2 linked regions of the Nothobranchius furzeri genome follow. The protein of the gene in region 2 interacts with the protein of the main gene of each other region in a biochemical or structural test. Links are inferred from orthologs where the notes say so. Each region holds a gene or a part of one and is shown on either strand. Other genes may lie near its edges.

The links. The genes of interacting proteins can lie anywhere in the genome.
Region 1: the proteins of microtubule-associated proteins 1A/1B light chain 3A (region 2) and prohibitin-2 form a complex in vitro, tested with the Homo sapiens proteins (2 studies listed by BioGRID). The link is inferred for Nothobranchius furzeri from reciprocal best matches to the Homo sapiens genes MAP1LC3A and PHB2.

The regions. Positions count from the first base shown.
Region 1 is NC_091751.1:35,031,077-35,038,853, reverse strand, and holds the start of prohibitin-2, read left to right. Parts: upstream 1-2,522; 5' UTR 2,523-2,598; coding exon 2,599-2,619; intron 2,620-2,662; exon of another isoform or gene 2,663-2,741; intron 2,742-3,250; coding exon 3,251-3,380; intron 3,381-4,322; coding exon 4,323-4,407; intron 4,408-5,920; coding exon 5,921-6,000; intron 6,001-7,223; coding exon 7,224-7,408; intron 7,409-7,777.
Region 2 is NC_091743.1:78,249,481-78,257,382, reverse strand, and holds the start of microtubule-associated proteins 1A/1B light chain 3A, read left to right. Parts: upstream 1-3,920; 5' UTR 3,921-3,923; coding exon 3,924-4,089; intron 4,090-5,439; coding exon 5,440-5,495; intron 5,496-7,902. UniProt on the Homo sapiens protein: Ubiquitin-like modifier involved in formation of autophagosomal vacuoles (autophagosomes). While LC3s are involved in elongation of the phagophore membrane, the GABARAP/GATE-16 subfamily is essential for a later stage in autophagosome maturation.

The DNA of each region.
Region 1 (7,777 bases), on a different chromosome or scaffold from region 2:
AAAAATACTGCAAAGTAAAGTACTTGTGATTTTTAAACTCAGTTTTTTTTATTCAACTTTGAAACTTTTTGGGGCCCCTGACAGCGGTGGGCCCTAAGAATCTTCCTAATCTTTCACCGCTTTACGGCTTCCCTGATTGTGTTGTGTTCAGGGGCGGATTTAGCAATTTGGGGGCCCAAGGCGAACACAGACATGGGGCCCCTTACACTAAATTTTAGACAATCTTACCTTTAACTGGATTTGCAAAACTCCTCTTCTGACATGAGTTATTTTCCCGTTTTATTAGTCCTCCTCTTTTTTCCTGTATTTCCCACCCTATGAGTGCTTTCAATATTTGCTCTGCTTTCTTTTTTCTGTCAGTGCTCCTGTGCTTTTGCCTTAGTTTTTTTTTCCATTTTGGTCCATGTTTTCCTCCCTTGAAACATTTTCCATTGTCTTTCCTTTCTGCTTCCTTTTGATGTTTACATCAAAAAACGACGTCACTTTCAGAAGTGAAGATAAAAGCTTTTATGAAGCAAGCTGCTTCTTTCTCTTATTGGAGCCACTAGGATAACTCAGTTTAATGCTCAATGTTTTGACTATCGCTTTGAGTTTGTTACGAATGCTCCCGCCTCTCTTCTTATTCTTATTTGTGGTCTTATGGCACGTGGCAAACAACCATTTGGTGCATTACCGCCACCAACTGGATTGGAGTGGAATCACTACCAATCACTTCCTGTTTGTGCATCGCCGTCTTAATAACCCTCTTATGACCATAATTATAACAGGGCCGCCTGGTATTTTATTAATCTTATGGCTGTAAAATTGTAATAAAAAAGTTCAAAGTGTGTGTAATGCTCTCCTTTTTTTAGAACAACCTCAGCTTTTAGTGTATGGTTTGTATTTATAATTTATTTCTATTACAGCCTTTAAAAAATCAATTTAAAAGTGAAAAAAAGCAAAAAACGGATTTGATTTTTTTTTACAGTTATTACTGAACAGGAACTTCAAAATTACTGGGCAAACAATTTAAACTTTGAACTGCATCTATTCTTAATTTGAACCTTGGTATCTTTTTTTTTTTTTTTTGCAGTTTTTAAGACAATTTATTTGTAAACTTTCAGATGTTTTTATTTGATGTGGTAGGCCTTGAAGCAGTTTCTCTCCAGCTGCAGGCAGAGTCCTTCACACCTCACACTGCCATGGGGTGCTTCTCTGGCACACCGTGCACTGCTATACCAAAAACTTTTGTTTTAGCAAAAATAATTATTTATTGTAAAAAGATAAATAATGCTGTAATGAAGCTGAATCTTACAATTAGCAAATAGTTGAGGGTTGTTCAAATAAAAAAATAAAATATAAAGACTGAACAAACGTTCATATGTTCACTGGAGATCTGTCCTTCTTCATGGTCACTGTCTTCAGATATAAGCCTTCTGGGACACTTAATAGATCGTGTTGATTTTCTTTGAGGCATTTCCACAATTTCATGCTGGCTTTTATGCTAATTAGCTTCCCCGTTCCGATATCCGCTGTCACCGCGGCGCTGGAGTAAGACCCTCTCCAAACACGCCCCCATGTGCCTGTTGAGCTACCCCCGAGCTCAATAACGGCGGCCCTCCCAGCGGGCGGGGAGCATCCCGCTGTCAGCTCCAGCAGCTCCACACAATTGAAAGAATATGTTTATACAGAAATAGTAATAATACGCTCCGTTTCAATCCGGCTGTACAGAAGGATTTCCCCCCGTAGCGATATTTTCCATAACTCTGATTGCTTCATACTATAGATCGTTGAAAAGCTGCTTTTATGTACTTTTATGAACCGTTGGAATTTTTTGGATCTGATCAGCCATTCAAAAGTTGTAAAACGGAGCATTTTGGATGACAAACTCAGAACGTCTCTGAATCTTTGTTGTGATTCGTTGCGCTCAAGACAGGGAATCCCGGTGGCTACCGTAATGTATTGTATATGCACGAAAAGCCCCATTTTTAATCTTTTCATCACTTTTGGAATTTTAATGATATATTGAACGGTTCAGGGCTTATGGTAATGAGAAGCATGTCCAATCCCGTCTGCGGCCACAGGTTGGTAATAAGAGTATTGTGGCATTAACAGAGGGGTGCCAGCGGTCAGGGCTAGGGGGCCCCCCAACACAAGGGCCTACCTATGCCTAATGGTAAAACCGCCTCTGGTTGTGTTCAGCACCTTGGGCGTCTGCATTGGTCTTTATGAGTAAATGAAATGAAACGAATGAGAGCGGGCAGCAGAGGGTGACAACGTCCTCTGCTGCTCGCTGATAAACAGAGTAGGAAGTAATGCCACCATCAGCATCAGCTCATTTCTTTATAATTGAATAAAGTAGAAGAGACTCAGTAAAACAACAAAAAGAAAAAGCATTCTGCCTGAACAGAAGATCAGTAAAACCCTTTATTGTAATTATTGTGTTTGTTTATGTAAAACTCTTGTTAAACGGCAGAATATTGATGTTCACTGGGTTTTACGGCCAAAACATAGGAATCCTACATTTCCCATGGTACCACGCGCAATCGGAAATACGTCATCAGCGTGACCTTGGTCTAGCTCTTCCCATTTGCTTTTCTAACTTGCGGATAGAACAGCATGGCGAACCAAGAGCCCGGTGTAAGTCAGCTTTCTGTTTAAAATAGACGTTTGTGACGTCTTAACGGTCGGCTCGGTAGAACCGGTCCGTCGGTTCCGCCGTTTGCCATCTGCTTAGCGGTAGCAGCGTGTAACGTTGACACGTGAGTCCTGATGGAAGGTGATAGTGAAGCTGCACGGCGGGTGTAAATGAAGCTAATATGCTAAAAGAGCCGTTTTTGTACTTGTGTTATTCGGAGTCAAAATTTCGCCCTGAAATGCTGTAAATTTAGACACTTACGCGTGTTTCCAGCGGGTCACGCGGGTTTGTTTATTTCATTTATACTTTTTCAGAGGTTCCGTAAGTCCTTCATTAATTCAGCATGAAAATAAATTATGATAATCATTAAATAATCGGGACGCAACGCCTGTAAGTCAGCTGTACCTTAGACATTTTTAAGAAATCGCCTAATTTTGAGTTCCTAATAAGAAAAGTGAATTAGTCCTGTTCTCACGGGTGTAACAAAGATGTTCCAGTAAACAGACTTGAGCTTACCTAGTCAGGTCAAAGGTCAGGGGTGTTTTTTCAGGTTAACTTCTGTCTTATATTTAAACCTTCTCCACCCATGCAGCCTGTTTGGGTCAGAATCTGAACCTCCATCTTTATTTTCAGGGTTTTCTGCAGCAGCTGCGGCAGATCGCAGGCAGGATGTCCTCGGGACCCCGGGGTGCAGGAACAGGCCTCAAACTGCTGCTTGGAGCTGGAGCTCTGGCTTATGGATTGAAGGAGGCCACGTACACAGGTGATCTTCCCACACCTGGACCTCCAAACCTAACAGGAAAACCGATTAAAGCAACTAGTGCATATGAGTCGCCACGTTTGTTACAGGAAAGTTTGACTCTCTTTAAAGTTTAGTTTTTGATAGTTTCAGGACGATGAAACTAGCATTAAGCAATGCAGCTTGTTGTTGTTTACTTGACCATGTCTCCCTGCATTCTTCATGTTAACAAGTCAGGTGCTTTACTCCAGATAAACCTCTTTCTTTGTTTTAACTTTAGCTGCTGTTGAGTCAAATGCAAAATCAAAAGTTGTCCAAAAGCCTGGATTCATATAAAAAGCAACTAGGGAGCAGATAGACTGCAGGGTGGTTCTCAACTACTACAGCAGGGACTGAAGACCAAAGCTCCTGGTTGAACTCTGGTTACTGAGCAGTAACTGGAGTTTATCTTTCTAAATACGCAGAATTCCACTGAAGTGTTTGAGAAAGAGGAACGTAATTTTTCCAGATGACAGGAGTTTTGAGGTCCACATAGCAGGGGTGAGGTGGTGCTCACTCCTCACCCCTGCTATGTGGATCTCAAGGGATAAACCATCAATCCTGCTCGATGGTCGCCTTTCCTGGAGGGGTCACCTGATAGGAAAATGGGAGAGTTAGAACCAGTTAGAAGGCACAGTTTAGACACGGAGATCCAGTTAGAAGGTCCAGTTTAGACCCGGAGCACCAGTTAGAACCAGTTAGAAGGTCCAGTGGAAGGTCCAGTTCAGTCCCGGAGCTCCAGTTAGAACCAGTTAGGCCCAGTTTAGACCCGGAGCACCAGTTAGAATGTCCAGTTAGAACCAGTTGGAAGGTCCAGTTCAGTCCCAGAGCTCCAGTTAGAACCAGTTAGGCCCAGTTTAGACCCAGAGCTCCAGTTAGAACCAAAGTTCTTGTGTAAATCGTTGTTTCCCTTTCCTCCGTGTGCAGTCGAGGGAGGCCACCGAGCCGTCATCTTCAACCGGATCGGGGGCATGGAGATGAACACGGTGCTCTCTGAGGGACTCCACTTCAGGTGGGTTATCCTGGCAACCGCATCAGCAGCTCCTAGTGTGTCTGGTTCCAGAAACCATAGATACAGTTTGAATGTTAAATGCCTTCAAATAAGTGACTTTCCTTCACCTGTGTTCTTAAACCTTTTTTTTTTACATGTTATCAAACAAGAGCGGAGTCCGTCAAACCTGATTGGTTAATAAAGTGACAGATATGCACTCACCTAAAGGATCATTAGGAACACCTGTTCAACTTCTCCTTAATGCAATTATCTAATCAACCAATCACAAGGCAGTTGCTTCAATGCATTTAGGGGTGTGGTCCTGGTCAAGACAATCTCCTGAACTCAAAACTGAAGGTCAGAATGGGAAAGAAAGGTGATTTAAGCTATTTTGAGCACGGCATGGTTGTTGTTGCCAGACGGGCCGGTCTGAGTGTTTCACAATCTGCTCAGTTTCTGGGATTTTCACACACAACCATTTCTAGGGTTTACAAAGAATGGTGTGAAAAGGGAAAAACATCCAGTCTGCAACAGTCCTGTTGGCCAAAATGCCTTGTTGATGCTAGAGGTCCGAGGAGAATGGGCCGACTGATTCAAGCTGATAGAAGAGCAACTTTGACTGAAATAACCACTCGTTACAACTGAGGAATGCAGCAAAGCATTTGTGAAGCCACAACACGCACAACGTTGAGGCGGATGTGCTACAGCAGCAGAAGACCCCACCGGGTACCACTCATCTCCACTACAAATAGGAAAAAGGCTACAGTCTGCACAAGCTCACCAAAAGTGGACAGTTGAAGACTGGAAAAATGTTGCCTGGTCTGATGAGTCTCGATTTCTGTTGAGACATTCAAATGGTAGAGTCAGAATTTGGCGTAAGCAGAATGAGAACATGGATCCATCATGCCTTGTTACCACTGTGCAGGCTGGTGGTGGTGGTGTCATGGTGTGGGGGATGTTTTCTTTGCTCACTTTAGGCCCCTTGATGCCAACTGGGCATGGTTTAAATGCCACGGGCTACCTGAGCATTATTTCTGACCATGTCCATCCCTTCATGACCACCATGTACCCATCCTCTGATGGCTACTTCCAGCAGGATAATGCACCATGTCATAAAGCTCCACGGTCACCAGATCTCAACCTGATTGAGCCTCTTTGGGATGTGGTGGAACGGGAGCTTCGTGCCCTGGGTGTGCATCCCACACATCTCCATCAACTGCAAGATGCTATCCAATCAATACGGGCCAACATTTCTAAAGATGCTCTCAGCACCTTGTTGGATCAACGCCACATAGAATTAAGGCAGTTCTGACGGTCAGTGGGGTCCAACACCGTATTAGTATGGTGTTCCTGATAGTCCTTTAGGTGTGTGTAGTAACTCAGAACTTGCACTCGATGTGTTAATGATCCAACTGATCAGCTGATAAATAATTTAGGAACAAAAAATAAAAATTTTGTTTATTTTTTTGAAAAAACATAAATCTGATCATTTTTAAACGTCTATCTGAGAAGTTCTGACCGGTGTCGTCTGCAGGCTACCCTGGTTCCAGTACCCCATCATCTACGACATCCGAGCCCGACCCAGAAAGATCTCATCCCTCACTGGGAGCAAAGGTCAGGACCCGCCGTGGGAGACACGGCTTTTGCTGTAGCATCATTTTTATTATCAGGGTGGTTCTGGTCAGTTAAACAGATTATTGCTCTAAATATTGATTATTTAGTAAAGCTTCAGCTATAGAGACGCTCTCATTCTGGTTTCTGACCTGGTTTACAAACTAGAATAAAATGTTTTTGTTTTTTTTGATTAAATGAAATTTTGGTTTTGGGAGAGAGAACATTTGTGAAAGCTTTGCTGCTGTTGGAATAAAAACTATAATCTGATTTTTGATTGTCAGAGCGGCCGATGAGAGATTAGAACGTTGAGGAATTAACTGGTCAGAACCGACCCGGGTCCTGTAATGGTTCTGATGTGTTTGCCTCTTTCCCAGCAGCAGGTGTTCCTGTCATCTAGGGCTGCAACGATTTGCCGACGTTGTCGACAAATGTTGATAATAGAAATGGTTGACAATGAATTTCATTGTCGACGTTGTCGCCAGGCATGTTTTTTTCGAACCGAGTGAGGCATCTCACTTCAATACAATCTCTGCCGAGAGTCGTACATGCGCAATAGCTTCTCTACTGAGCGCCAACTAACTAACAGAAATGGTGGCGCCCAACACATCAGCTACGCGTACCAAAACATCTAAAGTTTAGGAGCATTCTAGCCCAGATTCGGCGAATAAAAAGATGACCTGCATTATTTGCAAAGCAGTCGTCGCGTAATACTGCAGCACCTCGAAGATGCATGAACACTTAAAGAAAAAGCACGTCGGACAGTTGAATGAAACAGACTGACTCACCTTTAAATAACAAAAGCCTGTACGTTTTGTTTTGGATGTAGATTGTGCAATTTTTTAAATGTATTTTTGCTTTTCAAAAAGGAGATTTAATGTTATGCCTGACTGCCTGACTAAAGTAATTACTGCCTAATTGGTGTTAGACAGGGCATTTTTATTTACTCTTAGTATGAACTGGCTTATCAGCAGCAAAGTTCAATAAAATATGCATTTTCCATTGAAGTACCCATCTTTCTTGTGTTTATCATTTTTCACACAATTAAAGCAATCTCATGCTAAATTTAAGAAAAATTTAATAATTATCCGATTAGTCGACTAATAGTTTCAATAGTCGGTGACTAGTCGACTACTAACATAGTCGTTAGTTGCAGCCCTACTGTTATCGTTGTTCTCCATCAGACAGGTTTAAAGTCCGTTTGACGGTTCCGTCTCTGTCCTCAGACCTACAGATGGTCAACGTGACGTTGCGGGTTCTGTCCCGGCCGCTGGCGTCCAACCTTCCCATCCTCTACCAGCATCTGGGGATGGACTACGATGAGCGTGTCCTTCCCTCTATCGTCAACGAGGTGCTGAAGAGTGTGGTGGCCAAGTTCAACGCCTCACAGCTCATCACACAGAGAGCTCAGGTACGCGGCGGGTCACGTCTGGTGTACAAGAATAATTTTGTGAGGGATTATATGTGCAGCTGTGGCTCGTTAAAATCAATACTGCGACTTTGGATCATAACCCCGGTTTCACACTGCAAGCATCAGCAGAACGGAACAGCAGCGGAGTGGCTCACTCGAGAATTTCAAAGCGGTCCTTTTCACACCAGGAGAGTCTTGGCAGCGGCACGGCTTCCTCGCTGCGCCTTGCTGTTCTCTCGATTCTAAAATCCCTCGAGATTTCCGAAACCTTCCTTTTCATTATGGTTTATGCTTTCAAATAACTTTTTGTAAAACAACTTTTCTAATCTCACCTTCCATCTCAACAATCTTGTGTGTGTGTGTGTGTGT
Region 2 (7,902 bases):
AAACCTTTATTAGCAACTTCTAAACTAACAGCCAAACAGTTATTTGAAATAAATTTACATTTATTGCTGCTTTGTCTAAAAGTTTTAGAGCATCAACTAATCGTCCTAATTTCATTAGAAAATACATATTTTCAGAAAAGGAACTTAAACCTTTTCTCCTGCAGCAATGACTTGTGGGTAATACCTTTGCCAGAGGTCCGCATCACAGCGGACTTGGGTGAAGTGCAGATTAAGGGTGCAATGGGGGCGTGGTCAACTTCCGCACTTGAGTCTGGACACCCTACGCACTCACACCTCTGGCCGGGAACGCGCAAATGAAGGGCGCGACGGTGCGAGTGTTGAGATTGGGCCTTACAGACTGAGAACCTCATCCTGTCTGAAAGAGAACAAACACACTATGTTCATAAGTACGTCTTTAAATGACTTCATGTTCTGTTGAATGTCAATTAATGAACCAATAAGTGTTAATCTAATTTTAAAGGTGTGGTTCACTGAAAGCCCTGTTTTAATGATTATCTCTGATTCTAACGTGTCGAGTGTCTCATGCAGGCTGAACATGAGCATAGTCTCCTACACCTACCTCCTGCCGTAGCTTCTGATAGAAAACAGACAGTGAAACTCCAGGATTTAAAAATCCTGACAGATCTATGTCACACTGTCCCTTAGGGCCGTGATATACTTGCTGTTTGACATTGCATACACATTTTAAAATGGCTGCCATGCGTTACTTGCATTGATTTGGAGCATCATTTGTGAGCGTTCCTCGAAATTACAGCGACGCATCCGAATGCTGCAATATACGAGTAACCAGTAGGTGGAGTTGACAAAACGAGCGAGACAAACTCACCATGGTGACCCCGTCTCTGGTTTAGAGGACTTTCAAACCAACCTCTTTACCGCTGCTGTCGCTTTTTCTGTCGTGAACTGAAAACGAACCAGTTTCTGGTCTCTTAAATTGATGCCATGTTTGTTTTGGTTGTTCCCACAGACCTGTTTCTCTGTTCGGTCTCAGTAGTCTAGTGCGCCCCTTATGGTAACACCCCAGTACTAGTGCTGTGCAGCATGTGAACAAAGACGCAGCCTTGTGCCTGCACCAACGCAAGCTCAGACAACAAGGAAATCACAGCCCTTAATATTCATTTTGGCTCACGACAGGGAAGGCTGTTGTAGGTTTAGTGTCCAGAAGAAGAAGAAAAGATCTTTTCTATAGCGCCTCTCAAGGTAAAAATCACAAGGCGCTTCAGGAAACAGTAGAGAACGTCTCGGCTAGTAGAAGCTAACTGTTAGCATTAGCAACTCCACCACACAGCAGAACTCTCCAGGCTTGTGTTATTTGTAGAGATCAACATTGCATAGTAAACAGAGTCAGTGGTAGAGTTGTGTTGCTGTTAGCCAATCAGAGGAGAGATGTCCACATATCAGGAAAAGACTCCAGATGCTGCCATCTGAAGCTTCTAGAGACCACTGCAAATGTATGTGTGGCATAAAAATCGACTGACGTTTTATCCAAAACCAGCAACGCCACCTTGGGAATTTCACCCAAGGACTTAGTTTGAAATGACTGTAAGGCACTTGGGTTCGTTTTTGCCCAAGTAGTTGTGGCTTCAGATTGTTAAAACCATTTATTACAACAGAAATTGGAATAATACCCATTAAAAATGACCTAAATCAGTTTAGGACTGACTTTAATGCCCTGGTAAAAACCTCCGAGGTTTACCAGTGGGGCAGGGCTAACCACAGGCCAGTGACAACACCACCCACCACCATGTCACCTGCTGTGGACACACACAGAGAGCATGTGATAAACTTCCACTGTTATGCTGACGTTACTCAGTTATATCTATCCATTAACCCTGATGAACCTAATCAGTTAGTTAGATTACAGGCTTGTCTTGATGGCATAAAAAGTTGGATGACTCAAAACTTTCTGCTTTTAAATCAAGACAAGATAGAAGTTCTAATCTTTGGACCCGAAATTCAGAAAAGGAAACTGCTTAATCAATCACCTGACCTGAACGGCATTAAAATAGTCTCCGAGAACAAAGTAAGGTACCTTGGTGTTATCTTCGACCAGGACATGTCATTCAAATCCCACGTTAAACAGGTTTGTAGGATTTCCGTTTTCCACCTTCGGAATATTGCTAAGATTAGAAGCATCCTTTCCAGTAGTGATACTGAAAAACTAGTTCATGCATTTATTACATCAAGACTGGATTACTGTAATTCATAACTCTCGGGAAGTCCACAGAATGTAGTTAAAAATCTTCAGCTTGTCCAAAATGCTGCAGCTAGAGTTCTGATGAGAATTAAAAAGAGAGATCATATCTCTCCTGTCCTAGCTTTCCTACATTGGCTATCTGTTAAATTCAGAATAGCCTTTAAGATCCTCCTTCTCACACATAAAGCTCTTAATAATAAAGCTCCATCATACATTAGTGATCTGATTGTTCCATACGTTCCTAACCGAGTACTTTGCTCTCAGAGTGCAGGTTTACTGGTGGTTCCCAGAATATCTAAAAATAGGATGGGAGGCAGATATTTTAGCTATCAGGCTCCTCTCTTGTGGAACCAGCTCCCAGCTTTAGTCCGTGAGGCAGACACCGTCTCTACTTTTAAGACTAGGCTAGGTTATCCAGAGTTATCTCTGTAGATATGCTGCTATAGGCTTAGAATGCTGGAGGACATACTGACCACTTTCCACACTCTACTACTTTCTTCTACAATCTGCTCTTTAACTGCATTATTTCCTGCTATTTCAGCTGTTAACTTTATTTTTACTCTTAAGTGTTTTCCTCCCCAGAAGAAGCTACAATGATGTTCTGCTGAGCTGTAGTGGCCTCATGGAGGGGGCCATTGGCTAGCACACTGCTGCTAACCACTTCTCCCTCTCCTGACAATAACATTTTACTCTCTTTGACATTGAATGTGCTACTCCTAGTTTACCAGATTAATTATAGATTCACTAGGATAAATACAATAAAGTTTATCTCACCAAATAGAATGTTTACTAAGAAACACAAAATTCCTGTTAAAAGGGAGTTTTTCTCTGCACTGTCGCTGCATTCTTAGTATGAGGTGACTCGATGCAACCTGCTGGGTTCCTTAAATAGGAAACTTTTTACTGATTGGCTTAATGACCTGACCTGTATTGGAATGTTTACTGTGTGAAGGTCCTTGAGACGACTCTGGTCCTGATTTGATGCTTTATAAATAAACTTGAATTGAATTGTAGAGCGCCATGTTCTTTCCAATTTTCTAGAGTTTTGTTTTAAAGTTTGTAAATCAGAATTAAACCAGGGAGCCAACTTCCTGTGCTTAATTACCTTTTTTAAAGGGGCAACATCATCTAATGCCACACGTAAAGAAGTAACATTATGAACTAAATCATCAATTTGTGAGGGGCTAGAAATGAAAATATTGCCCTCTGCTACAGTCCTCTGAGATGCTGAGGACAGTAAAGATGGAATAATTGATTTAAAAGATGCAACAGCCTTGTCAGATAAAGACAGACTATAGTGAAATTTACTTTCATGTCTCTAGAACTCAGTTATAAAAAAACTCAAAGGTGATCAAAAAGTGGTCCGAGAGGACTGGATTATGTGGAAATATCGTTATTTTCCTCACACTCTATGCCATAAATCAGCACAAGGTTTAATGTATGATGCCAGGAGTGGGTGGAGCTATGCATTCTTTGGGTAAAACCAGTATATTACTAAAGGCTACACTGAGGCTATCATTTTCAATGTCCACATGAATGTTAAAATCCCCCACTACCATGACCTTATCAGTATTTAGCACCAAATCAGATAAAAATCAGAGATCTGATCCAGAGACGGCCTCAATTTTACTGACAGGAACTGAATAACTTTTCTGAATATTAAATGACAACTTGGCTTGCCTCACTCACCTCCATAAGGCAGCGGATGACGTCAGCGCGTCAGATTACTGGCTTTGTTTGTACGGAGCTGCTGCGGAGCTTCAGACCGAGCCATCTGAAACCCTCCCAGGGCCGTTTTCATCACCTTCTTTCGCCTGAAGCCGCTGCCGGGATGCCGTCGGACCGACCGTTCAAGCAGCGGAGAACGTTCGGTAAGACGGTGCTGTCTACAGCTAGCGTTAGTGCGTTTCAATGCGTAGGTTCACACCGGATTTAACGTGTTTACATGTGTTGATGGTCGGTCTGTAGCTTCACGGTAAACGGGGTCAATGTGACGCCGCAGCCTTTACACAACCGGATCAGCTCCGTGACCCACCGCGAGGCCAAAACAACAAGTTGTGCTGAAACATGACCCCTACACGTATTCTCTGATTAAATCGGTCACCTGACAGGAGGGGAGGAGTCTGGCAGTGACCCGCTCACCTGAACGGACCAGCTGTCAGTGTCAGAAACATGAATATCAAAGCAAGGTGAGAACTATGTAGATGAACACCTGGAACGGGTTGATAGAAAGCTCTAAAACTGGAGTTTCACCTGGAACACCCTAACATCTCTGACTGGAACCACAGGATGATGTCATCAGGAAGAGACCCATCCGGCCAATGGCGAAAATGATAACCACGATTATTTTGGTTGATGCAAATATATCGCGGGATCAGGTCGCGAGGCAGTAGTCTAAGCAGGGAGGCCCAAGCTTGAAATCAGGTGTGTTGAAACTGGGAAAACACTAAAACATGTGGGATAGTGGGCCTTGAGGACCAGAGTTTGACACCCATGCTAAGGTCCAGAACGTGGTTATGATGGTTTCATTTAGAAATGAGTTTCATCCATCCTCTTCCGTTTATCTGGAATCTGGTCATGGGGGGCAGCAGCCTAAGCAGGGAGCCCAGACTTCCCTCTCCCCAGCCACTTGGGCCAGCTTCTCCGGGGAATCCCAAGGCGTTCCCTGGCCAGCTGAGAAACATAGTCCCCTCAGTGTGTCCTGGGTCTTCCTTTAGGTCTTCTCCCAGTTGGATGTGCCTGGATAACCTCACCAGGGAGGCGTCCAGGAGGCACCCCAACTAGAAGCCCGGGCCACTTCAACCGGCTCCTCTCGATGTGGAGGAGAGGCGGGTCTAGTCCGAGCTCCTCCCGGATGACTGAGCTTCTCACCCTATCTATAATTCCGTTTATTTATAAAGCGCCAAATCCCGACAAGTCCTCTTAAGGCGCTTCTCAAAGTAAACATTCCAATAGTTCAGTTCATTAATGCAATCAGTAAAAAGTTTCCTATATAAGTAACCCAGCAGGTTGCATCGAGTCACTGACTTGTGTCAGAGACTTCACAGGAAGAAACCTCCAGAGGATCCTGGATCAGCATAAGCAGCCATCTGCAGTGACACACGGAGTCGAAAGCCTACCATCCAAAATGGCTGCAATATGGCCACCAATCCAAAACACATCTTCTCTTGTTGCTGTAAACTTCCTAATCTCATCATGCTGTCTATTTGTTTTGTCGACAGCTGATCGATGCAAAGAGGTCCAGCAGATCCGAGAGCAGCACCCAAACAAGATCCCTGTAAGCTGCACACGCACGAACCTGGGGGGTAGTCCACAAAGCGAGTTTAGAACATCGATGCCTTCCTGATAAATGCCTGCCTAACAAAGTGCATCTGTGCACTCAAGGATCTGTCGGTTCCACCGACTATGCTCAGGTGGATTCAGTTCTCTTTAATTCAAGTGAACCTCACAGGCAGCCTCTGTTAATTGATGCTGGATAACTGAGAAGGGAAGCAAAGTGTTTTGCTCTTCTCTTAGACGGAACATTCATGCCCACGAGGACTATCTGAACTAAAACAGAGACCGCCAGCTGCTTGGTTATAGCCATGTATCTGGCGCTATTTAAGCCGAGCTTATGCTTCTGAGTGTGCGTCGGTACCAAGGGATCAAGGCCGCTGGCTTTGCTCCAGCATGGAAGTACCAAAAATTACAGTTCCACCCTCATCCGCTAGGGGCTAGTACCAAAACAGAGCAAGTTCCCTTTGACTCCCATGTTAAAAAAGCCAGTTTCACAGCATAAATAAACACATTTACAGCCTGGTTCAAAAAGCCATTCTAGGTTTGACTGATCTTTCTAACATTTATGACAACTCTGAGGGGGTGAGTTATTTTATAACTCTTTGACTGTAATTAAATGCTTGAAATTATGAATAATTATTGAGCACCAGAGCTACAAGCTAGCTCTAGGAAAGGCCTCATGTTAATGGACGTTCGGCCATTTTGACTCTGAACTTTAGCTGTGTCCTCTGTGGGTTTGTGCTTGGATGTAAGGGACAGCAGCAGCTCAGGAGGTAGAGTGGGTTGTCCAGTAATCGGAAGGTTGCAGGTTCAATCCCGGCTCAGACCAGAGAATTCTGTCATTGTGTCCTTGGGCAACACACTTAACTCGCCTTGCTGGAGGTGGTCGGAGGGACCGGTGGCGCCTGTGTTCAGCAGCCTCGCCTCTGTCAGTGCGCCCCAGGGCAGCTTTAGCTACGATGTAGTTCATCACCACCAGCGTATGAATGGGTGAATGACTGTGTTGTGAAGCGCCTTGGGGGGTTGTAGAACCCTAAGGCACTATACAGATACAGGCTATTTACCATTTAATCATCGGATTATTTACCATACCATACCATACCAATTTTATTTATATAGCACATTTAAACACGGCATGAGAGCCGACCAAAGTGCTGAACAAAACACACAATAAAAACAATCAAAAATAAAAACTAAATCCATTAAAATCAAGTAATCCAACCCTAAAAGGAAAGGTAGAAAGGGAATAAGTTAGACAGAATTAAAAGCCAGAGAATAAAAGTGAGTTTTTAAACGAGACTTAAAAAGGGAAAGAGAGGAAGAGAGTCTGATCGGGAGGGGCAAGTGGTTCCAGAGCTTCGGTGCACAAACTGAAAAGGCGCGCTCCCCGCGGGACTTACAGCGAGAGCTAGGGACATGTAGGAGGTGTTGGTCAGCTGATCGGAGAGATCTTGTAGGGACATATGGGTGAATGAGCTCAGACAAGTAGCCAGGTGCTAAGTTATTTAGGGATTTAAACACAAAAACCAGGATCTTAAACTCTATCCGGAGATGGATGGGGAGCCAATGAAGATTTGCTAAAACCGGTGTGATGTGTTCCCGCTGCCTGGTGCCAGTCAAGAAACGAGCTGCTGCGTTCTGCACAAGCTGAAGTTGAGCGAGAGTGGAGGAGGAGATACCGTATAGCACTGAGTTAGAGTAGTCGAGACGGGAAGTAATAAATGCATGGACAACTGAATGAAGATGACGCCTTTTTAAAATGGGCTTAACTTTAGAGAGACGCCTCAGGTGGTAATAACAGATCTTAACTACCTGGTTGACATGAATGTCCATTTTTAGTTTAGCGTTCATCACAACCCCTAAGTTTGTGACACGGTTTTTCAACCCACTTGTGATAAATGGAAGGGTCAGTTGGGGACTTTGAGAAGTACCAGGGCTGAAAATGATGGCCTCTGTCTTAGCGTCGTTCAGCAAAAGAAAGTTTTCTGACAGCCAGCTCTTCACATCATTACAGCATTCAACAAGGGGCAGTAAGGAGTCATTAGGCTTCACAGAGGCATATAATTGGCAATCGTCTGCATAAAAATGGTAATCAATGTGGTGTTTTTTAAAAATGTCACCCAGGGGCAAAATATATAAATTAAATAAAAGGGGTCCAAGAATAGAGCCCTGGGGAACACCACAAGTCAAAGCCGCAGAGGGGGAGGCAGCACTACCCATCATAACATTAAAGGTGCGGTCACAGAAGTAGGACCTAAACCAGTCTAAGGCAGTCCCCTGGATTATTTGGACACAGAGGGCAAGCTGCGGTTGCTGACGGCACTAACAGGTCATCCAAGCAGTTTCTGCTTCTTTTTTATCAGCAAGTAAAATTATTTTTCTGTACTTTATTTCCCTGATTGAAGGGG